7 linked regions of the Callithrix jacchus genome follow. The protein of the gene in region 6 interacts with the protein of the main gene of each other region in a pairwise test. Links are inferred from orthologs where the notes say so. Each region holds a gene or a part of one and is shown on either strand. Other genes may lie near its edges. The genes, in order: LDOC1, COX4I1, CUTC, RNH1, KLHL2, SDCBP and PTS.

Region 1 (3,325 bases), on a different chromosome or scaffold from region 6:
TATTTGACATGTTGGCCAGTAGCACAGTAAATGTTATGTAGATAAATGAAGCAGAGTCAAGGGTTAGAGATTGGTGGCAGAGAACAGGGTTCTCTGATAGGTCCGGTGGCCAGAAAAGTTCTCTTTGAAAGCAGTAGGTGAAGGAGTCAGGCAGCCAACTGGGACAAGTCTTGCAAGGCAGAAGGGGTAGAAGGTGCAAAGGCTACAAAGCCAGAACTACTTGACGTGTGTGAGAATCAGCAAGGACAGTGATTAGAGCATAGCAGAAAATGGGAAGAGGCATAGGATAGAAGGAAGGGCTTTGTAGACCTTGGCTGCAACTTTGCTCTTTATTCTGAGATGAAACTTGGATGATTTTGAGCAAGGGAGTGAAGGGATCTAATTTTTGTTTTAAATGATTCCCGTGGCTACTTTATGGAGAATATACTATAGGTAGAAAAAAGCGAAAGCTAAGTGATTAGTTGCAGCAGTGTGTGAGAAAGAAAGGCTGGGTGGGGATCAGGGTGGCAGTGGTAGAAATGGCAAGACATGATTGAATTGGCAATATATTTGAAAGCAGAGCCAATAATTCATGATAGCTCTAGGATCAGAGATCCATTTAAAGTAGAAAAAGAAAATTATTTATAAACACTCACATCTTCACAGTTCATTTTTAAGTAGAGAATAATACCCAGTGGCCAATGGCACTAGTAGCAGAACAAGAAATAGAGAATAAAATGTGTGGGATGCCTGCAATTGGTTATCGGATGCTGATTTTGCAGAACTTTTTATATCTTGCTATTTAGGTTTTTTTTTTTTTTAAGGTAGGTATATCATATTATTTCCCAATTAAATAAGTCACTGTTTAAATACTGCCTTTTTCATGAAAGGCAGGACCCCCTGAGGGTCTTCATGACCCTGAAAGGAAGTGTGACTTCCACAGTGCAGCCAGCAGTGTCAATACTTCGCTAAGTGAGATTTAAACAAGAAAGAAAATGTGTTAATAAAACATCGCGCCAAGAGAATTTAGTGGCCACAGACCCACGAAGGAACACTGAGTTGTGCGAGTTGGCTAGGTAGAAGAGTGGTTAATCTTTTCAGCTTGAACAAGTGTACCTTCTCTGAGACCGGATTCAGCGCTCGCCAGGTCCTCTGCTAATTCAGGCCCCACATCCAGGAGCTCTGACAGCCGACCGCAGCCTTTAACTGCCCGCCTAGAGGGCTACGACAAGCCGGTGGTTCAGCAACCCAGCGCATCCTAGTCCTAGCCAAGCCCTGTGTGTCTACACTCTTCCCATCCCGGCCACGCCCCCACGCTTCCGCGGCCCCTCGCCTGGCCACGCCCCTCCCGCGCCGCGCCGGCGCACCGTCCGTCCGAAAGGCCGCGTGGGCGGGGCTTGCGTAGCCTCCCGGACTCCGGCGCGCACCGCACCGCCCCCCCGCCCCCCGCCCCTGGCCCTCGCGCGCCTTGGTGGACAAGCACTTCCTGCGAGGCCTCCGTACGCACCTTGTCCGAGCCGAGCCGCACCGAGCCGCACCGAGCCGAGCCCTGTACTTCCAAGCCGTTCGCCATGGTGGATGAGCTGGTGCTGCTGCTGCATGCGCTCCTGATGCGGCACCGCGCCCTGAGCATCGAGAACAGCCAGCTCATGGAACAGCTGCGGCTGCTGGTGTGCGAGAGGGCCAGCCTGCTGCGCCAGGTACGTCCGCCAAGCTGCCCGGTGCCCTTCCCCGAAACGTTTAATGGCGAGAGTTCCCGGCTCCCCGAGTTTATCGTGCAGACGGCGTCTTACATGCTCGTGAACGAGAACCGATTCTGCAACGACGCCATGAAGGTGGCATTCCTAATCAGCCTCCTCACCGGGGAAGCCGAGGAGTGGGTGGTGCCCTACATCGAGATGGATAGCCCCATCCTAGGTGATTACCGGGCCTTCCTCGATGAGATGAAACAGTGCTTTGGCTGGGATGACGATGAAGACGACGACGACGACGAAGAGGATGATTACTAGGCCTTAGACCCTCAGGCCTAGCGGGGAGGGCCCTGCACGCCGCCACCCCCTCTCTCCAGCCCTCACCCCGCCGGGAGCCACTGTTCTCCGCCTTGCCCTCTGGTCCCCTTCCCTACTCGCGCCCTTCAGTTCTCTCTCTTCGTTTCTCCGTAGTGCTTGTCTTTGTTCCAGGAATAGTGCTCCATTTACCTGCTGCTGGGGTTGGGGCTGAAGCCTCACTCACTCGGAAATGCTTGGAAGTGTCATCTACCCTGGCCAGCCCCTGAATCCCTCCCCTGCTAATCCGAACTGTGTCCTGAGCCCCAGTTATTGGCCATGCCCCCATTATAAATTGGTCATACCACCCATAGCCCTGCTGCTGCCACCTACCCTACTGCCAGGCTTACATCTGCCCAGAGAACTATGCTGCCACTTCACATCCACTCACCACATCCCACCTACATACTACCGCCTTTCGAAGTAAGGACCAACCTGGAAGATGCCAGAGTTGGCTATACCTCTTCGGACATTGATTCGGACAGCTCACCAACCCATGAAGGGGCCAATCATTCAGCCTGGTTAGTTTTCTACCCACTCTGAGGGTCCTCCCATGCCCCACCAGATTGCTGCAGGGGCTTGGTGTGCCTGGCAGCCAAATTGTTGACATTTCTTTTTTCCTATGCATTGGTTTTACACAGCTGTCACTTTACTTTCAAAATTGCAGCAGTCCCCCAGATGTGTGCATTTGGACAAATAATACTAAGAACAAAGCAAGCACTCAGCCCAGCTCCTCAATACTACCTGGAAAAAGCATTGGCATTATTTTCAATAAATATCAAGCACTACAAAAAAAAGAAATGATTGTCTTTTAATGGTTAAGTGCTGTCACTGGCCTCCAACACTGTCACTCTGTCTACCATTATTCCCATGGAAATCAGGGTTCCCCGCTGTCATCTCCAGGCTGTTGGCGACAGCTACCTCAGGGCTCTGTCAGTGTTCTGATGTTCCCTTCACCAATGTATTTCATAAAGCCCTGGCAAAGGGTATGTCCTCTGGTTCCTCCAGAATGGCATGGGTAAGGCTTGGCTGAGCAGATGGCAAAGAGGCAGTATTAATAATTAGACCATAACAACAGTCATAAACCTGGAAGAGGGGGGAGAGAGAGAGAGAGAGATGTAATGCTCCCAATTATCTGAGCTTTCAGATTCCTTAACACTGTACCAGGGAAGTTCTGCCCCTTAATCCTTATTGCCTATGTGTAGCTGCTGAGTTCAGGCTCCAAATAGCCAACATAGTATATTGCTTTTATGTCACTCTCAGATGCTCCAGCTAACATTAAATCCTGGATCCTGGGCACG
Region 2 (2,291 bases), on a different chromosome or scaffold from region 6:
GGAGCTGCTGGGCTCGCCTGTGGGTCCCTTCAATACCCACACTCGACTTTCTCATCCACAGAGAGGCTGCTCCAGGAGGCCTTCTCCTTCTCCTTCAAGGCCTTCTGGCTGGCCGACAGGTGCCTGACATGGGCCACATCGGGCAAGGGATAGTCACGCCGATCCATGTAACTTGGGAGTGCATAGTCTTCGCTCTTCACAACACTTCCTGAAAAACACATTGGATAAATCTTTGAATCCATGTAAATTGAGAGTCACAAACAAGGTGATACTTCTGAAAACCAAAACAAACACACGTGTGCACACCTTGAAACCCTCAGTCATCTCAGGGGGTCACAGCCACTGTTTGAAACAGGTGCAGGACTGTGCTGGAGGGTGAACAGAAGCACTTTTCATCACTGCAAACAAAAACCCACCGGGGGCAACTGCTACTGAACCCTGGGGCCAAGGTGGCCGGGGGCAGCTCTTCCTATGTTAACAGTTATCCCCTGCCCTGAACAGGAGACTGGTCAAAATGAGGCCCAGCTGCAAGGGACTCAAACCACAAGGAAGAACAGGAACAGTGCAACACCCAAAGCGCTTCCCGTTCAGAAACAAAGGCACTGTTCAGGAAAAACCTGTGTCCAACCAGGACTGAGGAAGAAATCGTGCCAGCTCTGTGAAACGAGGACCATGGAGCCACTCGTTCAGAGAGTGTTTACCAAGCACCCTCTACAGGCAAGGCAGGGCTCTAGGTATCTGGGTTCATCTGTGAACAAATCAAATCAAACATTCCTGCCCAGTGGCACTTAACATTCTAAGAGTGGCAAACAAACAATAAACATAATGTGCAAATCACATGTTTAGACAAAAGTACTCTGGAGAAAGAAGAGAGCAGGAGGGCACTGGCAATGTGTGGATGGCAGGAACCAAGAGGCAAGGTCCACAGGACCGGGCAGACCTAGAGCCCGAATGCGACGGCAGAGTGCACTCAGCCACAGAACAAGGACAATGCTGTGTGCCTCCTTATGGAAGTCATGCACACATACTCACATACACATAATCCACTCACACTCTGACAAAGCAAGCTTCAAGCCGCCACACACGGGAGGCTGGGAGAACCTCGCGAGGATTTCTGCTCTATCTGCCTGTGATTTTAGTGCCTTCCAACCAGCCGGTATCACGAGGAAAGAAGTCCAGAAATCAGACAGCTAAGGAGTATCTTGCTTGTAGTGAGTCTTCCCCTGTTAAAAGCTGTTTCTCAATTCTGTCCCACACCTACCTGCAAGAACTGTTAGATACTGATCTGGAGGCCTTATGCCCTGCGACAATGCTTCCCCTCCATTAGCTCAGTCCCAGTGATTCCCATCTCCCAAATCTTCTTCTTAGTAAATCACGTTAAGCTTCAAGCAAAGTCACACATAGAGTTCTCTAGATGTTTATCTTAGCCATGAAAATGACTAGGATACTTTCAAACTTATACCTGACCTCGTCCCAAAAATGAGGTGGGATTTAAGGGACATGAGGTGGAAATGGCCGGATTACTTTCTAATTTTAAAGCCCTGATTCGATGAGGTGATGTGTGAACTAAAAAGAGCAGTTGTATACCGAATATTTTTATCAAGTTTAGCACCCTCCAAAAGTTTCTAAAATTTAAAACACTCAGTTACACGAGTTATTCAAAATAGATGTAAATATGGGTGATGAAAATGTTCTAGAATCAAACATTCATTGTGGTACTAATGACAAAACTCAATGAATATACTGAAAACCACTGAAGCCTACACTTTAAAAATGGGCGACTGTTACATGAATTGCATCTCGTAAAGCTGTCGTAAATGACATGACAGGAAGACTGAGGGGAGAAATGTTGTAATGATGTAAACCCTCAAAACCTTGAAGCAGGCAAACCTTAAAATTGCATCTTCCAGAATAAGAATAGCCAATTCCTGGTTTCAGGGGTTCTTCAGAGCTTCAGGCCTGGTCCCCCAAGGAATGAAGGGAAGGCAATGGTTACTTTACCAAACATTTTTTTAAAAATAGAGAAAAACAAGACTCCAGATTCTAATGAATGTCTGTCACTGCTTCCACATGGATGGGTTTCTGCTGAGCCTCCCCTGGGGAGGTCTGGTACATCTGGGCGCCCCTCGCTCAAATGTGTCGCCATGCAAATATCCCAGCGGACTTCAGTGATGGCTGATGGTATTCCAGACGGCTGTAATATCTTCTGCTGAGAACAGATTCATGTATTATTCATGAATGATTCACATAAGTTAAAATTTAATAGGCAAGACTTGTCTAAGAGCCTGCAA
Region 3 (3,500 bases), on a different chromosome or scaffold from region 6:
GGTTTGCTATTGAGCCAAGGAAGCTAGACATAAATACTACATATGATTTTATTTAAATTAAATAAAATTCAAAAACTGGCAAGTCTAATCTATGATAGTATTAATCAGGAAAGTGGTTATTTTGGGGGACTAGGGAGGCACAGTTTTGCAAGATGGAAGAGGCAGGACTTCAGAGGTGCTAGTAATGTTTTCTTTCTTGACCTTCATGGGAAAGAATAATTAAAAGGTATGTTTGCTTCCTGATAATCCAAAAAAAAAAAAAAAAGCAGCAATAATAGAAACTAACATTATTAAGACCTACTATATACCAACCACTGTGCTAAGCCTCTTACATATCTCATCTCTAGCAATCTTCTGAGAAACTCTACAAAAGAAGTATTAAACTTATCTCAGTTTCACACAGGGGAAACAGAGGCATAAAGATTAACCTACTCAACTCAACATCACATAGCAAGTGTCAAACCTGAGTCTCAAACACATGACTCTCTTATCTCAAAGCCTATATTCACTAATTTATAATGCCTCTGGACTGATGTCAGAAAAACACAGACATACTATAATTATAAAGTCACCCTCTGAGTGTTCTACAAATGATGCCAGCTTACCAGGAGAACTCATAAAAGAGAAACATATATTTCCTTTTTTATTGACAGATAGGAAGAAATAAGACTATAATTTTAGTTTTGGAATTTATCTCCAGATGATAATTTCATATTGGATCCCCTGAATATACACGGGCTGTATAATGAAAAGATGTGGCTTAAAACTACAATGCTGGCTGGGTGCAGTGGCTCATACCTGTAATCTCAGCACTTTGGGAGGCCAAGATTGGCAGAAGGCTTGAGCCCAAGAGTTCAAGACCAGCCTGGGCAACATAGCAAGACTTTGTATCTAAACTAAGAAATGTAACTGTAATGCCAATGGGAGAGGAAAGGTAAAATCTGCTCTGCTTATCCAAGTTAGATCAGATCTCTAGGCACTATTGATGTGTAATTTGATATTAAAAGCCTTGATTATTAAAAAGGCTCATGTGAAAGAAGTAAGAATGATACACATTATTGCCTACTTGTTCTTTCCTACAGAGTAACCACAAAGTCAGTAATATATAGTATTACAAACTGGCTAAACAGAATGTCAGGAGTAACCACAACAGAGTCTTAGGGGAAAAAAAAGAAATTCCATGTACCTGCTCTATGAGTCGCTTTATTAGGGGTAGCCCTTCTAATGCTGAACTGTCACATCCACTGGTCAACACTCGTTCAAATCCCAAGGTTAAGAGGGTCTCCAGAGCTGCCATTGGATCATGAACCATGTCAAAGGCTGAAATAAATAAAATTGATGTGAATTCCGAACAGATATCCTTTAATGCACTGCTTCCCAAAATGTAGCTTACATGCAGTGGCAGGCTGGACCTAGCTTGTGTGGCTTACAAAGGCCAATTATTAAACACTCAATAATTCTGTAAGTCAGATTGTTAACCTACTGGCAGCCTGAAATTAATGAAGGTAGGGCCAGGTGTCGTGGCTCATGCCTATAATCCTGGCACTTTGGGAGGTGGGCAGATCACTTGAGCCCAGGAGTTTGAGACCAGCCTGGGCAACATGGCAAGATCCCATATCTACAATACAAAAATCAGCCAGGCATGGTGGTGTGCACCTATAGTCCCAGCTACTTGAGAGGCTGAGATGGGAGGATCACTGCCTAGGGACTTGAGGTTGCAGTGAGCTGAGATTGCACCGTTGCACCCAAGCCTGGACGACACAGCAAGACCCTGTCTCAAAAGAAAAATAGAAATTAATTTTAAAAAATTAGTGAAGGTAGAGTATTTAAACCACAGAAATTTTAAAATGCTACAAATCAGGGCTCTTTTTTCTAAGAGCAAGTTTATCAGCACACCACAGTCTGCATACCACCACTGTGCACGATGATTTTAATAATGGTACACATTTAAAGAGGTATATTTATTTAAATGCAGATAAGAAAGGAAACGTTTTCAATTTACAGTAGTTATGAAAGTTTCTATTGAAAATAACTTAAGTTTTTTTTCACATCTTTTTAAGCTCGGGGATACAAGTGCAGGTTTGTTATACAGGTAAACCCATGTCTTGGGAGTTTGTTGTACAGATTATTTCATCACCCAGGTATTAAGCCTAGTACCCATTAGTTATTTTTCCTGATCCTCTCTGTCTACCTACCCTCTACCCTCTAAAAGGCCCTAGTGTGTGTTGTCCCCCTCTATGTGTCCATGTGTTCTCACCTTTTAGCTCCCACTTATAAGTCAGAACATGTGGTATCTGGTTTTCTGTTCTTGTGTTCATTTACTAAGAATAATGGTCTCCAGCTCCATCTATGCCTCTGCAAAGGACATAATCTTGTTCTTTTTTATGGGTGCATACTTAAGATTTTATTTAAAGAAAATCATTAAATAAATGTGCACAGGTAGCACTCATATATGGTAAAATTTTAAATGTGATAAGCAGGTGAGTCCAATTTAAGAAACTGCTCTAAGGCTTCAGAAAAACTGGACTAGGTAGAATGAAACACTGTACTCAGCAGTTCTAGAAAAAGCCTTGGCTCACATTCTCATTACTGACTAATAGTTTGGACTAATCTATTAACCCCACATACTCAAGGTTCACAGCATAAGGATAGCTGTTTTCAACAACTATATGAAGTTTCAATTCCATCCTACTTTCTAAGAGACTTCTACCCTCCTCAGAGCCCTCAAAGAGTAAAGTGGTACCAGGAAACCGAAAACAGAAAACCTCCTTCTGCTTTGGTTCTCACATCGCTACATGATATAGAAGTTCTAACCTGTGGTGGATTAGGTGGTAGTGGTCCTCTGAGATAGACCCCTTCATTTCACCCTTTAGTGTATGTAGGCAACTAAATCTACCACAGAGGATCTACCTGTTTCGGTGGCAGTCTCACCACTATAACAATATTATTATGCTACATCATTAAATACATGAGTGAAAAAAATGTGGAACCCAAAAATTCTACAAATTTTGAAAATAGGAAAATATTTTTGCTAAACCTATTGGAATAAAGAAAAGAATAGAAATTTGAAGTAAAAATTTTTTTTTTACTGTAGACTTCTTTTCATGTGCAATGGCAGTACTCTCTGAAGGCAAAATAGACATTTGTTCTTCTGTTTAACCAAGATGTAGCCAAAGGACATAGAAATTATAACTACCTGATTTTTTGGCTGGGTGCGGTGGCTCACACCTGTAATCCTAGCACTTTGGGAGGCCAAAGTAGGTGGATCATGAGGTCAGGAGTCCAAGACCAGCCTGGCTAAGATGGTGAAACTCTGTCTCTACTAAAAATACAAAAATTAGCCAGGGGTAGAAGCTGAGGCAGAGAACTGCTTGAACCCAGGAGGTGGAGATTGCAGTAAACCAAGATTGTGCCACTGCATTACAGCCTGGGCAACAGAGCAAGATTGCATCTCAAAAAAAAAAAAAAGAAAAGAAAAGAAATTAAAACTAACTGATTTT
Region 4 (3,953 bases), on a different chromosome or scaffold from region 6:
CGTGTCCACAGGGTGAAGTACTGCGGCTTGACAGCTGCCTGCTGCTCCCACTTCAGTTCAGTGTTGGCCCAGAATAAATTTCTTCTGGAGCTGCAGATAAGTGAAAACAGGCTGGGAGATGCAGGTGTGCAGGAGCTGTGCCAGGGCTTGGGCCAGCCTGGCTCTGTGATGCGGTCACTCTGGTGAGTGTGTGAGGGACATGAATATGCATATTTGGGAGGTCGTGTGTGTGTGTGTGTGTGTGTGTGTGTGTGTGAGAGCACGAGCATCCATGTGAGAACACGTTTGTAAGAACCTGGGTGTTCATGTGCTGGGGAAGGCAGCATGGCGGCACCATTCTGGCTTCTTGCAACTTTGATCAGAGTCAGAGACAGAGGTCTTGGTTCATGAAGCCTAATAGCTTTTGGGGCTCCAGCGTGCCCTGGCCACCCTGTGGTCCATTTTCCTGGAAGTCCCGCCCACCTTCCTGCCATGCAGGAACCCAGGGTCAGGATGTCTTCCCAGGTTTCCTCCCTTTGTTAAAGCACGTTGTCTTGCAGCTTCCTAAGAACAGGTTCTGCAGAAGGTAATTATTGGAGGCCTGCATCTGCTCTGCCCTTGGGTCATTCAGCTGGGTATAGAATTCTGGGTTACAAATTCAGCTGGGTATAGAATTCTGGGCTACAGATGTTCCTGTAGAATTGGTAGGTGATGCTACATCATTTTCTGGCTTCCAGAGAGGACTTTGCTGTTCTGATTTTTTTTTTTTTTTTTTTGAGATGGAGTCTTGTCACCCAGGCTGGAGTGTAGTGGCGTGATCTCTGCTCATAGCAACCTCTGCTTCCCGGGCTCAAGCCTCCCGAGTAGCTGGGATGACAGGGGTGCATCACCATGCCTGAATAATGGGGCTTTCACCATGTTGCTCAGGCTGGTCTCAAATTTCTGACCTCAGGTGATCCACCTGCCTTGGCCTCCCAAAGTGCTAGGATGCCAGGTGTGAGCCATCATGATCTTGTGTGCACGATGTGCTTTTTCTCATTGGCAGCTTTTAAAGATGTCTTTGCCCATTGTGTTTGGGGTTCCATGTGCTTTGCCTTGATGTGTGTCTTGGTTCTTTTATTGTGCTGGATACTTGGCTGTCCTAAGTATCACGCCTTTGGTGATTTTTCCTCTCATTTTTTTTTTGAGAGTTTCACTCTTGTTGCTCAGGCTGGAGTGCAGTGGTGCGATCTCACTGCAACCTCCGCCTGGGTTTAAGCAACTTTCCTTCCTCAGCCTCCCAGCTGATTTTCGTATTTTTAGTAGAAATGGGGTTTCACCATATTGCTCAGGCTGGTCTCGAACTCCCGACCTCAGGTGATCCACCCGCCTCGGCCCCCAAAGTGCAGGGATTACAGGTGTGAGCCACCATGCCCCGGTGTGCCCGTGAGGTCTCCTGGACTGGCCCGCTAATTGTGTTCTCCAAATGTTCTGTCTCTTCGAGGTTTTGTTCTTATTTCTGGGAGATGTTCTTGTTCCTCAACCAGTCTACTGAATTTCCACCATCAGTGTTTTGTCTTTTGTGTGCTGCTTCACCTGTGCCTCTCGCCAGGGGCTTTCCATGGGTGGCCGGGCACCAAGTGCAGAGTGAGGCCCGGGAGCCCTGGGCAGCGGGCTGGGCAGGCGAGTCGTGGCTGTGTTTCCTGGGGCGGGGGGGGGGGGGCTCTCAGGACGCCATCCTGGCTGCCAGGACCCTGTGGGCCTTCCAGGTGGGGCATGGAACCCTGGGTCCTGGTCACTGCAGGCCTGTCTGCCTGAGCCACTGCCAGGGTGGGGGTCCTGCAGCTTCCCTGGCTCCCACTTTGTAGAGGCCCAGCACAGCTCCTTGGCCTGGCTCCGGCCGGATGCGGCTGCACCCTGGGGAGTGAGTGCTGGGTTTTCTCCACTGTCTTTTGTCTGGCCTGTACCCTAGTCTCTCTCGGGAGCCTGAAGTCTGTTGTCCACTGTGCCTTCCTCAGAACCCTCCACACCCTCGTTTCCCCACAGCTGCCCCTCGGTCTCCGTGGCTGGCTTCTCCTCTTAGCCCCACTTGGCCAGGCAGTGTTGAGGAGGTGGGGAGCGGGGGGTGGACGTGGCTCTGTGGGTGGACATTGTCTTCCTCTGGTCCTTTCTGCCCCTCGTGGGAGGAGAGAGTTGCTCAGGGAGTCAGTCTGCTGTGCCCTGCCAAGGGGCTGCGTGCTGGCCTTGTCTGTGGTGGGCACCTGCCCAGGGCCACAGAGGGTTACCGCCACCTGCTGGCAGCTTCCAGTGGGTTCTATGGGAAGATGCTTTTCGAGCAGCACAGTAGCAAGAGCTGATAGAGTTCACAGTCACCAAGGTGGAGTGCCGGTCTGAGGGCGGCCTTCCCCAAGAACTGGAGCAAGGTCCTACAACGCCTTTACCAGGAGCAGTGGCTCTCGCCCCAAGCCTGCCACACAGCGGGTATCTTTGCGATACTGAACGCTGCCGCCTGGGCCATGGGTTCTTGTCCTGGCATAACTGTTTTCCCTTAAATCATGCTCTGCGCCATATCTGCTCTAGGCATTCCTCCGATTATGAGCTGCTTATTCCTTAATTCATGCTCTGTACTGTGTCCACTCCAGGCATTCCTCTGACCATGAACTAAGATATAATTATATATATATATATATATATATATATATGTAGGGAAATATTCTTTAGGCACTCCTCATACTATCAACTATTATATGATTACATATAGGGGATTATATCAAGGGATTCTTCAAGCCCTAATTCTATAAACTAATATATGATTATGTAAAGGATTATATAAAAGGAAATAGCTGAGTAGTGACACTGTACAGTGAGATATTCCTCAAGCCCTAACTGTGCCAGGGTTCTGCTTAGCTCTCATTCCTCGGGGCCTATATGGGGGGTTACCCACACACCTGACCCCCACCCTGCTCTACCCAGGCTGGGGGAGTGCGATGTGACTGACGTTGGCTGCCTCAGCCTCGCCAAGACCCTGTTGGCCAACGACAGCCTGCGCGAGCTGGACCTTAGCAACAACTGCATGGGGGACGAAGGCATCCAGATGCTGCTGGAGAGCCTGCGGCAGCCGTCCTGCCACCTGGAGCAGCTGGTGTACGTGCCTGTGCGGGGCGGGGGGCGGGGGTCCGGGGGGCGGGCTGGGTGAGGACACCTGCCTACTCCTCCCTTCTGGCCTGTGTGCAGCCTGTACGACATCTACTGGTCTTTGGAGATGGACCGCCAGCTGCAGGCCCTGGAGAAGGAGAAGTCATCCCTGAGGATCATCTCCTAAGCCGCTTCCTGCCCGCCAGGCTCCTGAGACCCGCTCTCCCTGGACAGCCTGGCCTCGAGGCACCCCTGGGCTCTCACCCTGCGTTTCCTAGATTTGAAGAGAAATGCTCAGATCAGCTTATTTCTGCTAGTGTATTTTGGATACTTTACAATCATTAAAACACTTTCTTGGCAGGAGGGGCTCTTTCTTCCTGGGGTCTCTGCGAGGGTGCTGGTGTCAGGCTCCTGTTCTTCCTGGGGTCTCTGAGGGCGCTGCTATTGGGCTCCTGTCCTTCCTGGGATGTCTGAGGATACTGGTATTGGGTGCACCACGCCACTTGGTATGAGCTTCTCTCTTGACATGTCGCCCAGGCTGGTGCTTGGTCTTGGCCTCCTGAAGTGTGGGCATTACAGGTGTCAGCCATTGGCCTGGCCCAATAAAGCCCTTTTCAGTGACCTGAGGCTGGGCGTGGTGGCTCACGCCTGTGATCCCAGCACTTTGGGAAGTAGGCTGGGGTGGGCAGTTCACTTGAGGTCGGGAGCTTGAGACCAGCTGGGCCAACATGGTGAAACCCCATCTTTACTAAAAATACAAACATTAGCCAGATGTGCTGGCAGGTGCCTGAATCGCTTGAACCTGGGAGGTGGAGGTTACCTCGAGCTGAGATTGCACCACTGCACTCCAGCCAGCTCAA
Region 5 (3,500 bases), on a different chromosome or scaffold from region 6:
CAGGAAAGTGCATTCTTTTGGCAAAGTGATTTGGCTCTGATTGCCTAAAAGTAATCTAGTGTTGTGAGTTAGTGGATTAATAAAATTGATGTCTTTTGAATGTATAGCTAATATATTGAAATGGATGTATGGACCAACCTCTCTTTCTGCAGTAGGATGCTCTTTAATCTGTGAGCCCCTTGTAGATATGATTGAGAAAGCTCTTTAGGACAATATAGCCTTCTTATTCATGCCTTCTATCATAGCAGGGCCATTTTTGAGATCATTTTGTCTCCCACAGTCCTGTGTTATCCATCAATAGGCTGGAATAGAGTGTTGCAAATACATATAACTACTGTGAGAGCTTGTGTGGCAGTAGCATTTGGCTCTTGCTTTTAAGTATTTGAACAACTTTAAAATGGTATGAGTTTTTTTCCTACAAAGTTTTGTAGATTTGGGCAGCATTTTTCTGGATTCTTTGATGCCCTCTAGTACAAGTTTATAGTAGCACTGAACTTTTTATAAGATACTAAATATACTTTAAAAAATTGAAATAAAGAGCTTTTTAAAAGCATTTACCATTTGACTTAGTAGTTTTCTTTCTAATCATTTATATTAAGAGAAATTGCTCAACTATTTAACACACTATTCAGGGGATCTTTGTTCATTGCAACATCATTGGTAACAGCAAAAAAAATCAAAATTACTTAAATATTAGTAAAAAATGATTAAATAAACTGGTATTATCATACATAAAAATTACATTTATATTTATTAACTTGAGGAAATGTCCAGGGTATGTTGGTTGGCCAGGGAGGGTAAGTAATAAAGTAGCATGTGTCGGGTGAGCTACTTTGGGGTTAAAAAAGGCAGTATCTGAGTATATATGCATCGAGAAAAGTTAGCCAGAGTAGAGATCAAAATTTTAATGGTCATTATTCTAAGTGACATAAGATTAGAGGTCACCTTTTTTTCTTTATACCTTTCTAGATGTTTTGAATTTTTGCAAAGAAAAGAGTTAATCTAATAGATAAATAATATTATTTTTCCCTTTTAAAGAGAGAGAAAATAGCTAACCATTCAGTATAATAATTAAAATTAAGAATATTTTTACCTTTTACTAACATATGTTTTCTTCCTTGATATTCCCTAAGTAGTTGACTTTGGGAGTGTTACTAAACTTCTTTGACATTTTTTTTTTTGTTTTTAAATAAAATGAGGGTCAAATAGTTTCTAACCTATAATGTTGTGAAAATTGAATAGAATAATGCATATATAATGCAACTGCTGCATAAATGACACTCAGTAGAAACTTAGAAGTGGTATTAGAGTTTCCTAGTATAAAAGGAATTCTTTCTTTCTTATTTTTGAGATGGAGTCTCACTCTGTTACCCAGACTGGAGAGCAGTGGTGCGATCTTGGCTCACTGCAGCCTCTGCCTCCTGGGTTCAAATGACTCTGCCTCAGACTCTGGAGTAGCTGGAACTACAGTCACGTTCCACCGTGCCCAGCTAATTTTTGTTTTTTTTAGTAGAGATGGGGTTTCACCAGGTTGGCAAGGCTGGTCTGGAACTCCTGACCTCAAGTGATCTGCCCACCTCATCCTCCAACAGTACCAGGATTATAGGCGTGAACTACGGTGCCTGGCTATCATAATATAAAAAGGATTCTTTACATGTTCACTATTTTCTCTTCTTGCCTCCTTTCAAAGAAATTAGTGTCTCTGGATTATCTCACTAAACATGTACAGTGATACTCATATTCATCCAAATTTTTTAAATAATCATTTTCTCTCTGTATAATTTTTTAAAGGAGTTTGTGCAGTTAATGGTCTGTTATATGTTGTTGGAGGGGATGATGGTTCCTGTAACTTGGCTTCAGTAGAGTATTATAACCCAACAACCGATAAATGGACAGTTGTGTCATCGTGTATGAGCACAGGGAGAAGTTATGCAGGTAACGATTGTCTCTAAAGTCCATTACAATAGAAAAATATGACATCATTATAATTTTGATATTAATAAAGTTTTTCTATTATAAGAATAATGCTTTTTCTCAAGGTATAGTTTATATCTTATTCTTAAGATGATTAGCATTGGCTGTGTATATTCTGAAATAAAGCACCAGTACACTTTGGTCATTCTGTAGTCATTTGTATTCAAAATCCCAAATCTTTGATATGCAAAATCATATAATAAAATTTAATGTCGCTAAAGTCAGTATGCCAAGGAGAGGAATTCACTATGTGACAAGGCTTTAATTCCTGAGATGTCCAAGAAATAGGATAGGGTTCCTACATCTCCCCACGGTGAGGCTTCATCAGATAGTATTATAGTGAGGCTGTGGAATAATTTTTCTTTCTTAAGCATAATACTGGTTGAATTATAAAATGTTATTTTTTGGTCCAATATATTCTTATGGTGCATCTTTAAACTGTGTTATATATTATTTATTTCAGTGATATTTATCTTGCTTTTAATTTTATAATATTTCTATAACAAAATTGATCCAATAGTGAAGGAAAAGAATGTATAATTTAACTATCACTGTTGCTTATGTATCATTCAAAACAGCACTTAGTAGAAGAACTATGTACAGTAGAATCCCAGTAACATGGCTGAATATTAGATGAATTTTAAAACAACTTAATTGAGGTATAAACTGGCAGAATACATAGCATACAGTTGACCCTTGGACAACACAGGTTTGAACTGTGTATGTCCACTTATATGCAAATGTTTTTCAGTAATTATGTTGGAAAATTTTTATAAAACTCAGATGAACTGCATAACCTAGAAATATTGAAAAAATTAAGTAAAAGATATGAACACATAAAATATATGTAGATATTAGTCTGTTTTATCATTTACTACTACAAAATATCCACAAATCTATTACAAAAAGCTAAAACTTATCAAAATGTATGCACACAAACTCTTACAGGAACAAACACATACAGACCATGTATGGTGTCATTCACAGTCCAGAGAATTGTGAACAAACCACAGAGATACAATATTAAATCATAACTGCATGAAATTAGCTGTTGTATGTTACTGTACTACTATAATAATTGTACAGCCATTTTCTGTTGCTGTATTAGTGAGCTTAGCTGTTGTGAGTAGCCACTTAAAAAGCTGTGGGGCAGTAATCATCTTTGAAAGAGCAATTTGTCTCTTTAGCGATGTGTATCTGTAGAAAGTGATCTCTCATGGTTCTGCCTTATTTTTAATCATGTTTATTGCAATATCATAAACCTTGAATAACACCACGGGACCCATACAGAGTGCCACTGATGATGCTGGGAAGTGCTTCAACGAAGCAGAGAAGAGTCATGACATTATAAGAAAAAGCTGAATTGCTTGAGATATACCATGGATTGAGGTCTACTGCTACACTTGCCCACCATTTCAAAATAAATGAATCCAGGGTAGGGATCATTGTAAAAAGGAAAAGGAAAACTCAAGAAGCCATTGCTGCAGCCATCCCAGCAATTTTGAAAACGTCGCACATTTTATGAA
Region 6 (4,067 bases):
AAAAAATCCAAAATTGGAAACATTTCTGGTCCCAAGCATTTTGGCTTAGGATCAGCTTGTTTTAAACTTGTTCATGAAAATTTACTGTAATTGCTTTTCATTCTATTTTTTAGGGGAGGGGTGTCAATTTTCCTGGATTTTCTATGTTAGATAACCATCTCATCTGAAAACAAAAAGTTTTATTTTCTCATTCCCAATCTACCTTGTGATTATTTTTAAACGTCCATTTTCATCAGCCTAACTACATATAACCTTACTGAGAGCAAAGTTTTCTTTTTTTATTTTTAATTTTTTATTGCATTTTAGGTTTTGGGGTACATGTGAAAGTTTTCATCTTTAGTTGTCACCTCTTTTACCCTCAGATTTTTTTTATTAGTTTTGCCAGATATGATTGTGGCACTAATTTAGCTATAAACTGCTTGTAAATGCTATTTTGTCAAGCACTCTACAGTATTCCACGGTAACTATGATTATTCTTGGGTAAACTGTGCCTCAGTCTGTCTGTAATGCGATGTTGTATTTATTTTATAGACTGATGTGAAGACCAAATAAGACTATACACTAAGTTCGTAGAGCTATGGCTGGCACATCATCAGCCCTCAAGAAATCATCGTTATGTTTTTGTATTAGGAAACAGTAATTACTTTTGCGCAGCACCACACAGAACTCTCAACAGCGAAGGAATATCAGCTCAGGCGGACAAAGATTAGTAACTTCCCCTTCGACCCCCCACATTTCAAACAGAAAAATAAGGCAGGAGTTGAGAAGGGGTAGTGAGTGAGAGGAACATTTGTGAGCCTATGGTGGAGAGGTACAGCAAGAGGAGAGTGAGGTTAGGACAGCAGTGGTGGAAGTCGAAGGCATCCCAAGAGGGAGCATGGGCTCCCGAGACCTGTTTGAATTGTAGGCGACCAGAACCAAGCGACCGTGAGCTGCTATACACACGGTAGTGAGTGGGTGGAAAGGGGCCAGCGGGCACGAACTGCCAGAAGAGCGGAGAAGACGCGGAGCATAACCGCGGGGCAGCGGCCAGTTGGCACAGCGGGCCACCTGCACGGCCCTACATTGCCAGATACCGGTAGCTGCAGGAACTACCCACGCCCAGGTCCCTTTACTCCCGCCGCCCGGTTACCTAGGGAACCGGATCACCTGACCCGGGGCCGTGCGCCTGCGCGGGCGGAAGGCGGGGGCGGTGCCGTGACGCGCCTCGGGGGCGGTCCTCCGGCTCTCGCCGCTCTGCTACCCTTGGGCCTCAGAAGTCCGTGCCAGTGACCGGAGGAGGCGGCGGCCGTGAGTGAGTCCTTGTGGGCTAGGTGAGAGGCCGAAAGGGGGCAAGAGGGACGCCGGTGCCGGGTCCCGGGCGCGGGGACGTGGGGCAGAGGCGTGATGGTCCCCGGGCCTTTTAACCGAGAGCGTCCTGGTCGCAGCCGTTTTCGGGAGGCGGCGGCGACGCCCTCTCCTCAGGGGCTCCGCGCCCCTCCCTGCGCCGTGCTGGCTGCGGGGCAAATTTGCGGGAGCAGCGCGCTCTGCTCCCCGGGACCCCGCGGGTTTCGAGCTCCTCTCCGGGCTGGGGCTGGGGCTGGGGTGGGTAGAGCCCCGAGGCACGGCCGGGTGAACGCCGGCAACCGCGGCCCCAGCTCTGGGATTCTTCCTGGGACCGTCTCTCGATCCTCGTTGTTCTCGCTCGCTAAGATCTCGAGACAAGTAAAGAAAGAGCCTCTGGCCGCGGTTTCTCCCCGCGTTTCTTGGGCTGCGCTTCCTTTTGGGTTATTTGGAACGTCCTGTCTCCCCGCGTTTCTTGGGCTGTGCTTCCTTTTGGGTTATTAGGAACGTCCTGGATTTGAAAGCAGGAAGGAGGTGTTTAGTGGGCGAAACCTTGACTTGTTTGGAAGCGGGTGGGGAGAGGTTGTTCGCCCTGAGCTTTTTCCTGGTGCTGTTGGACCTGAAGGAGAAACGTTTCCCGCAGAGTATGTTTAGAAGGAAATACTCCTGAGATCTGATGACTCACAGCTTTCCTTTCAGGATTTCCTTGTAATGATGGGAAAGGGAAGGCATATGGATGCGGAAAGTTTTTACTTTGATCAAAGTGGGATTATTGAGTCATGGAGGCTTCGAATGTGCACATTTTTGAAAGGAGTTTCTAGGATCATCTATTCTATATAACCGCATACACATTTACGGTTATTTTTTCCATTACGTACTTTCCTTAGAAAGTACACTCGGTTTACCGAGCTCTAACATCCGCTTGTTTAGTCTCTCCATTATAAACGAAATTGAACTTCAGAGACATTTTTAGTTTTGGGCATTATAGGAAAAGATGTAAAAGTCATAAAAGGGGAAGAATTTGCTAATGGTTGCCAGTTAAATGTACTGTTTAATTAAACAGTTTCTTAAAATGTGCGTGGCACAACTATTTTCCCTGTTGCCAGATTTGGGTCCTTTTTATAGGTATTAAATGCCAAGAGATTATAAAAAAGGAAAGCTCCCCAAACAACTTTAAAATACTTTCTACACTTAGTAATAGTTACGTTCACATTGATTAATTTTCTTTCAAGTGCTGCCAACATCTTTTGTAAATATTGTCTTCGAGTAGGTAAACGGTCACGTGTCTCAAAATTTAAGCAGCATACAAAGGTATATAGTATGAAGTCTCCTTCCTTTTGGCAGGCAGCCAACTGTTTTAAATTTCTTGGGTATTCATCCGGGAATATCCTATCTACACAGGCAAACATACAAACTGCATCTGTCTCCTTTCTTTTAACATAAACGTTAACATTTTATATACTGCTCCACATTTTGCTCTTATTTTTCCAGTTATTGATAATATTTTGGAACTTTCTAATATCAGCATATATAGCTTTCAGGTCTTTGGCTGTTACAGTCAGTGCTGCAGTGAATGAACTTTTACATATGTTGCTTCCTTTGTGCACATGTGTTTGTACAGTTCAGGTCTTGAAATGATACTGCAGAGTTGAAGGGTATTTGAATTTAGAATTTTAGTAAGCTACTGCAAACTCATTCTCCATGGGAATTGTACTAGTTTACGCTCCCACTAGTAGTGTATGAGTGTTTCTCAAAGCCTTGCTGTCGGAGAGTATTGTCAAACTTTGGATTTTTGCCAGTTCAGTAGCTGAGAAATGGAATCCTAGGGGTAAGAATTAATTATTCTACTTAGAGTGGACTTTATATGGACATACTTCTTAATGCCTGATCTTCAGAAACTCCCAGGATATTTATTAAAAAGCAGAGTACCTAAGTCCTTCCATGAAATTTGTATCTGTTCAGGAAGCTGAGGTTTTTTGTTTTTTGTTTTTTGTTTTTTTTGAGAGGAGTCTTGCTCCGTTGCCAGGTTGGAGTGCAGTGGCGCAATCTCGGCTCACTGTAACCTCCGTCTCCTGGGTTCAAGCGATTCTTCCGCCTCAGCCTCCCGAGTAGCTGGGACCACAGATGCATGCCACCACGCCCGGCTAATTTTTTTGTATTTTTAGTAGAGACAGGGTTTCACGATGGCCAGGATGGGCTCGATCTCTTGACCTTGTGATCCGCCTGCCTCAGCCTTCGAAGTGCTGGGATTACAGGCGTGAGCCACCGCTCCCGGCCCAGGAAGCTGTTTTTATAATAACTAGAGCCTCTGGTAATTTGGCTCTGATGAATAGCCATATTGAGAACATTGCTCTGGAAGGCTGCTTAGGATATATAAAATTGTGTTTCTAGACTCCATGTATGAGCTATCTGGAATGCTTACCATCTGGGGGACATGTTATTTTTTCATTTTTTTACTTTTTATTTTTTTTGAGATGGAATTTTGCTGTGTTGCTCAGGCTGGTCTCAAACTCCTGGGTTAAAGCAATCCTCCTACCTCGGCCTCCCAAAGTGCTAGGATTACAGGCATGAGCCATGGTTCCTGGCCTGATACTTTATTTTTATTTTTTACATTTTTCATTCATTTTATGAATAGTTCGCATAAGTGAAAATAAAGAGATAATGCAACACAACTTTACTAGAAATTTTAATAACTGCTTCAACAAAAGAAACACAAATTAGTATTCCAGATTTTCCTGGTTTTG
Region 7 (4,045 bases), on a different chromosome or scaffold from region 6:
TTAAACCATTCAGTTTTGAACTGTTTGTAAGAGTTGACAACTGCAAGTTAAAATTTAACACCCACCCACCCAAAACAACAGACCCTTTCATTCTGAACTCTCATGTAATTCTCATTCGAGGCTCAAAGCATCACACTGTGTTTGCTGAATACTCTTTCATCCTTACTGAAGGACTGAAATGTCATCAGTTTTTCTCTCACCTTTATAATTGTGCCCATGGCCATTTGGATTGCTGCATTTCCCAAACAGCTTCAAGTTTTCTTCCTCACTTAGAAACTTACTAACCAAAACAAAACAAAAAGTCAGCATGACACAAGCATCACATTCAAACCCCCTTCTCTGTTCCCTATGTATATTATTTGCTCTGATCTTTGAAAAGTTTCCCAATTTGTTATTACTTTAGCTCACCAAATGGGGAGTCAGAAATATGTTGATTTCATTTCTCATGCAAATGTCAGAAACCAGTGCACAGTTCCTAATTAGAAGGCTGTACCAGCCAGGCACGGTAGCTCACACCTGTAATCCCAGCACTTTGGGAGGCCGAGGCGAGCAGATCATAAGGTCAGGAGATTGAGACCATCCTGGCTAACACTGTGAAATCCCATCTCCACTATAAATATAAAAAATTATCCGGGCAGGGTGGCATCTGCCTGTAGTCCCACCTACTTGGGAGTTGAGACAGGAGAATCACTTGAACCAGGGAGGCAGAGGTTGCAGTGAGCCAAGATTGCACCACTGTACTCCAGCCTGGGCAACAGAGCGAGACTCTGTCTCAAAAAAAAAAAAAAAAGACTGTACCATACAAATTAGCACAAACAAACCTTAACTTCAACCCCACAGCAACTGATCTGCTGATGGGCCTTCCACTTTTCAATTTAACATTACTGACTGAGTGCCTACAATGTACTAGGCAAGTGCTGAATGACCTAACAGCATATAATGATCAACAGAGATGCTGATTCACAAAGTGGCTATTTCATTTCTCTCAGAAACTAAACTACTCATTCAGAAAAAAATAATTTAAAAAGTAATTACAAGACCTGGTGAGTCTCCGATTGAACATTCTTGATTTACTATGTCTCAACGATTGCCTCATGAGAACTTTACCAATATCTTGAAGAATATTCAAAGCAGGTGAGTTTTTAAAATTACAACTGTAATTCTAAACATTGTTGCCTCAGACAGAAAACAAATTACTTAATGAATGTTTATACCTACACCTGTCCAATCAATTTTGCATCGTCAATGAGGCCCTACCACCCTCAGGTGTTTGAGCTTCTTATGTTACCACCCCTTTCTTTTTGAGATCCTCTTTATTATTCCCCCCCAACGTAGTTTGGATGTCTGTGCCCTCCAAATCTCATGTAGAAATGTGATCCCCAACACTGGAGGTGGGGCCTAGTGAGAGGTGCTTGGCTCATGGGGGTGGATCCCTTATGAACAGCTTGGTGCCCTCCCTGAAGTAATGAGTGAGTTCTCGCTCTATTAGTTAATGGGCGAGCTGGTTGTTAGAAAGAGTCTGGCACCTCCTTTCCTCGCTCTTGCTCCCTCACTTGCCCTGTAAGTTGCCTGCACCCCCTTCTCCTTCCACCATGAGTGGAAGCTCCCAGAGGCCTAAACAGAAGCAGATGCTGGTGCCATGCTTCTTGTACAGCCTGCAGAACCAAAGAAACCTCTTTTCTTTATAAATTACCCAGTCTCAGTACTCCTTTATGGCAATGCAAAAATGGATTAACACACCCCCACTGTCTCCTGCCCAGCCACTTCTTGTATTTAAAAGAGGGCTAAGTCTTTTGCACAAAATTCTCACTGTACCCTCCACAAAATTGACCAGGCTGTAAACCCCATAACAAGATCCCCGCTGCATCCGTTACCTAGCACAAGCACTGACAAGCACGAAACAAACCCTCGTTCAGCGAATGGAGGGATGAATCCTGTTAGATAGGAATGGTTATACTCATTTTGCAGACGACGATATGGAGGGCCAGAGAGGGGCGCTTGCTGCAGAGTGGTAAAACTCCTCAAAACCAACTCTGCAGTGCATGCAAGCGGCATGGAAGCTCGGGGTTCAACTATGCTGCTTGCTTCGGAAACCGAACATCTGGGTTCATTTTTTTTTTCTCCTAGCCACTCCCACCAGGGACTGGGTTCCTTCTATCTTTGGCAAAAAGGGGCTAAAGCTTGCCTTGTGATGACATTAGATACGGCCGCCAGCGCTCCTGGCTTACAAAATTAGCTAACATTTACTGGGTGCCTACGCAGCTCCGGGTACTGACACAGGCGAGTTTAACACCGGTAAGCTTCACGGCAACCCTGTGGTCTACACCAAGGAACTCCGAGTCGCAGAGCCTGGTGCGGGCCCCGCGGCCAGAAATGGTCCATCGCCCTCCGCAGCCGGCTCCGTTAACCACCACGCTCCCCGATCCCTCCAGGGTTGGGGACACCCCAGCCGCCATCGGGATGCGACCTGCCGCCCAAAGCCCCGCGAAGGCACCCAGCGAGCGCCGCCCTCCATCAGCTGCTTCGCCCGGAAGCCCCTGCGCCCGCGACCCCGGGTCCGACGTCACGCGCCCCCGGCCCCGCCCCGGTGACGTTCCGAGGCCCGGCGCCCTCCGCCCGCCGCTGCACCTCCGTGCACACCCGACCTGTGCAGCCGGTGGCTCGCGCTGAAGGAGATGCCGCGGGACACCTGCGCCTTGGGACGACGGCCGCCACCCACCGCGCTCATCTTCCCGGCGCCCTCTACGCCGCTCGGCCTGCACCTTCTCCCGCGGCGCGGCCTGCGCCTCCCTCCACGGCTGCGCAGTGCAGGCCGGCGCCCCCCTGGGGAGCGCGGCTCCGCTTTGGCTCGGGCCAATCCCAGCCTCGGGAGACAGTTACGCGCGTCCCTAGCTGTTTAAATCTCTTCCGAGACCGAGTTCCGAGAGCTAAGCCTACCCTGGAGCGGTCACGGTGGGTGGGGACTCGGTGTCTTTGATCTGTTTGTCTGCTCCGCCTGCGGTCACGCCACGTGGTTAGGGCCCGTCTGCACACACTGGATCCTGAGCCACCTCTCTGAGCCTCCCCGCCCACTCTCTCCTGTAAAGCTCCAGTGGCTGGTGACTATCGGATGAGCCCCAGGGCCACAGTCCGCTTTATAAACCAAAAGGAGCGGGAATTGAGCCAGGCGGGCGAGGTGGCGCACTCCTGTAGCCCCAGCTGTTGGGAAGGGGAGGGATCCCTTCAACCCAGGAGTCCAACTTGGGCAATAGAGAAAGACGCTCGTTTCTTTTAAAAAAATTTTTTTGAAAGAGCAGGACTTGAGATCATGAATAGGACCACGTGGCAACAGTCCTTTGTGGTCATTATATGTTGGGGTCCGGCACGTCTGCCGGGGGACTACAGACCTGCAGGAGTCCCCGAGACCGCCAATGTAGATGTCTCGTTCAACCTGAGGGAGAGAGTGCGCGGAAGTGAAAGAAAATAGAAAAGCGGAGTCTGGAGGGCTTGCTTAGGCTATGTCCAAGCAGCAATTTTATTTTTGCAATATGTTCCATTATATACTTTTCTGAAGTCAAAAGTTGTTTACGCCAGATCAATGTACTTAAGTTACAGTAAACAAGTTACGCCCAGTAAGTAAGTTAAGTTCAGTAAGTAGGTTACGCCCAGTAGGTCAAGGTAAGTAAGTTGCAGTCACACCCTGTAAGCTATGGTAAGTTAAGTTACACTCAGTAAGTTAAGGTAAGTTACCAAGTGTAAATACTTAAATTAATATTTTACAATGAAGGTAACAAGGGTCCAAAATGAACACAATCAAGCAATAAACCATAAGGAGGCCGGGTGCGGTGGCTCATGCCTGTAATCCCAGCACTCTGGGAGACCGAGGCGGGTGGATCACGAGGTCAAGAGATCGAGACCATCCTGGTCAACATGGTGAAACCCCATTTCTACTAAAAATACAAAAAATTAGCTGGGCGTGGTGGCGTGTGCCTGTAATCCCAGCTACTCGGGAGGCTGAGGCAGGAGAATTGCCTGAACCCAGGAGGCGGAAGTTGCGGTGAGCCGA

The links.
Region 1: the proteins of SDCBP (region 6) and LDOC1 interact in binary tests that used the Homo sapiens proteins (3 or more experiments, as listed by UniProt). The two-hybrid records come from large-scale screens. The link is inferred for Callithrix jacchus from reciprocal best matches to the Homo sapiens genes SDCBP and LDOC1.
Region 2: the proteins of SDCBP (region 6) and COX4I1 interact in binary tests that used the Homo sapiens proteins (3 or more experiments, as listed by UniProt). The two-hybrid records come from large-scale screens. The link is inferred for Callithrix jacchus from reciprocal best matches to the Homo sapiens genes SDCBP and COX4I1.
Region 3: the proteins of SDCBP (region 6) and CUTC interact in binary tests that used the Homo sapiens proteins (3 or more experiments, as listed by UniProt). The two-hybrid records come from large-scale screens. The link is inferred for Callithrix jacchus from reciprocal best matches to the Homo sapiens genes SDCBP and CUTC.
Region 4: the proteins of SDCBP (region 6) and RNH1 interact in binary tests that used the Homo sapiens proteins (3 or more experiments, as listed by UniProt). The link is inferred for Callithrix jacchus from reciprocal best matches to the Homo sapiens genes SDCBP and RNH1.
Region 5: the proteins of SDCBP (region 6) and KLHL2 interact in binary tests that used the Homo sapiens proteins (3 or more experiments, as listed by UniProt). The link is inferred for Callithrix jacchus from reciprocal best matches to the Homo sapiens genes SDCBP and KLHL2.
Region 7: the proteins of SDCBP (region 6) and PTS interact in binary tests that used the Homo sapiens proteins (3 or more experiments, as listed by UniProt). The two-hybrid records come from large-scale screens. The link is inferred for Callithrix jacchus from reciprocal best matches to the Homo sapiens genes SDCBP and PTS.

The regions. Positions count from the first base shown.
Region 1 is NC_133524.1:138,057,695-138,061,019, forward strand, and holds LDOC1 (protein LDOC1), read left to right. Parts: upstream 1-1,420; 5' UTR 1,421-1,550; coding exon 1,551-1,988; 3' UTR 1,989-2,825; downstream 2,826-3,325. UniProt on the Homo sapiens protein: May have an important role in the development and/or progression of some cancers.
Region 2 is NC_133521.1:43,481,769-43,484,059, reverse strand, and holds part of COX4I1 (cytochrome c oxidase subunit 4 isoform 1, mitochondrial), read right to left. Parts: intron 209-2,291; coding exon 41-208; intron 1-40. UniProt on the Homo sapiens protein: Component of the cytochrome c oxidase, the last enzyme in the mitochondrial electron transport chain which drives oxidative phosphorylation.
Region 3 is NC_133513.1:92,693,469-92,696,968, reverse strand, and holds part of CUTC (copper homeostasis protein cutC homolog), read right to left. Parts: intron 1,321-3,500; coding exon 1,187-1,320; intron 1-1,186. UniProt on the Homo sapiens protein: May play a role in copper homeostasis. Can bind one Cu(1+) per subunit.
Region 4 is NC_133511.1:131,400,104-131,404,056, forward strand, and holds the end of RNH1 (ribonuclease inhibitor), read left to right. Parts: intron 1-11; coding exon 12-182; intron 183-2,931; coding exon 2,932-3,102; intron 3,103-3,192; coding exon 3,193-3,280; 3' UTR 3,281-3,453; downstream 3,454-3,953. UniProt on the Homo sapiens protein: Ribonuclease inhibitor which inhibits RNASE1, RNASE2 and angiogenin (ANG). May play a role in redox homeostasis. Required to inhibit the cytotoxic tRNA ribonuclease activity of ANG in the cytoplasm in absence of stress.
Region 5 is NC_133504.1:29,785,234-29,788,733, reverse strand, and holds part of KLHL2 (kelch-like protein 2), read left to right. Parts: intron 1-1,791; coding exon 1,792-1,935; intron 1,936-3,500. UniProt on the Homo sapiens protein: Substrate-specific adapter of a BCR (BTB-CUL3-RBX1) E3 ubiquitin ligase complex that mediates the ubiquitination of target proteins, such as NPTXR, WNK1, WNK3 and WNK4, leading most often to their proteasomal degradation.
Region 6 is NC_133517.1:14,796,779-14,800,845, forward strand, and holds the start of SDCBP (syntenin-1), read left to right. Parts: upstream 1-1,267; 5' UTR 1,268-1,294; exon of another isoform or gene 1,295-1,313; intron 1,314-4,067. UniProt on the Homo sapiens protein: Multifunctional adapter protein involved in diverse array of functions including trafficking of transmembrane proteins, neuro and immunomodulation, exosome biogenesis, and tumorigenesis.
Region 7 is NC_133511.1:11,916,334-11,920,378, reverse strand, and holds the start of PTS (6-pyruvoyl tetrahydrobiopterin synthase), read right to left. Parts: upstream 2,801-4,045; 5' UTR 2,729-2,800; coding exon 2,646-2,728; intron 281-2,645; coding exon 201-280; intron 1-200. UniProt on the Homo sapiens protein: Involved in the biosynthesis of tetrahydrobiopterin, an essential cofactor of aromatic amino acid hydroxylases. Catalyzes the transformation of 7,8-dihydroneopterin triphosphate into 6-pyruvoyl tetrahydropterin.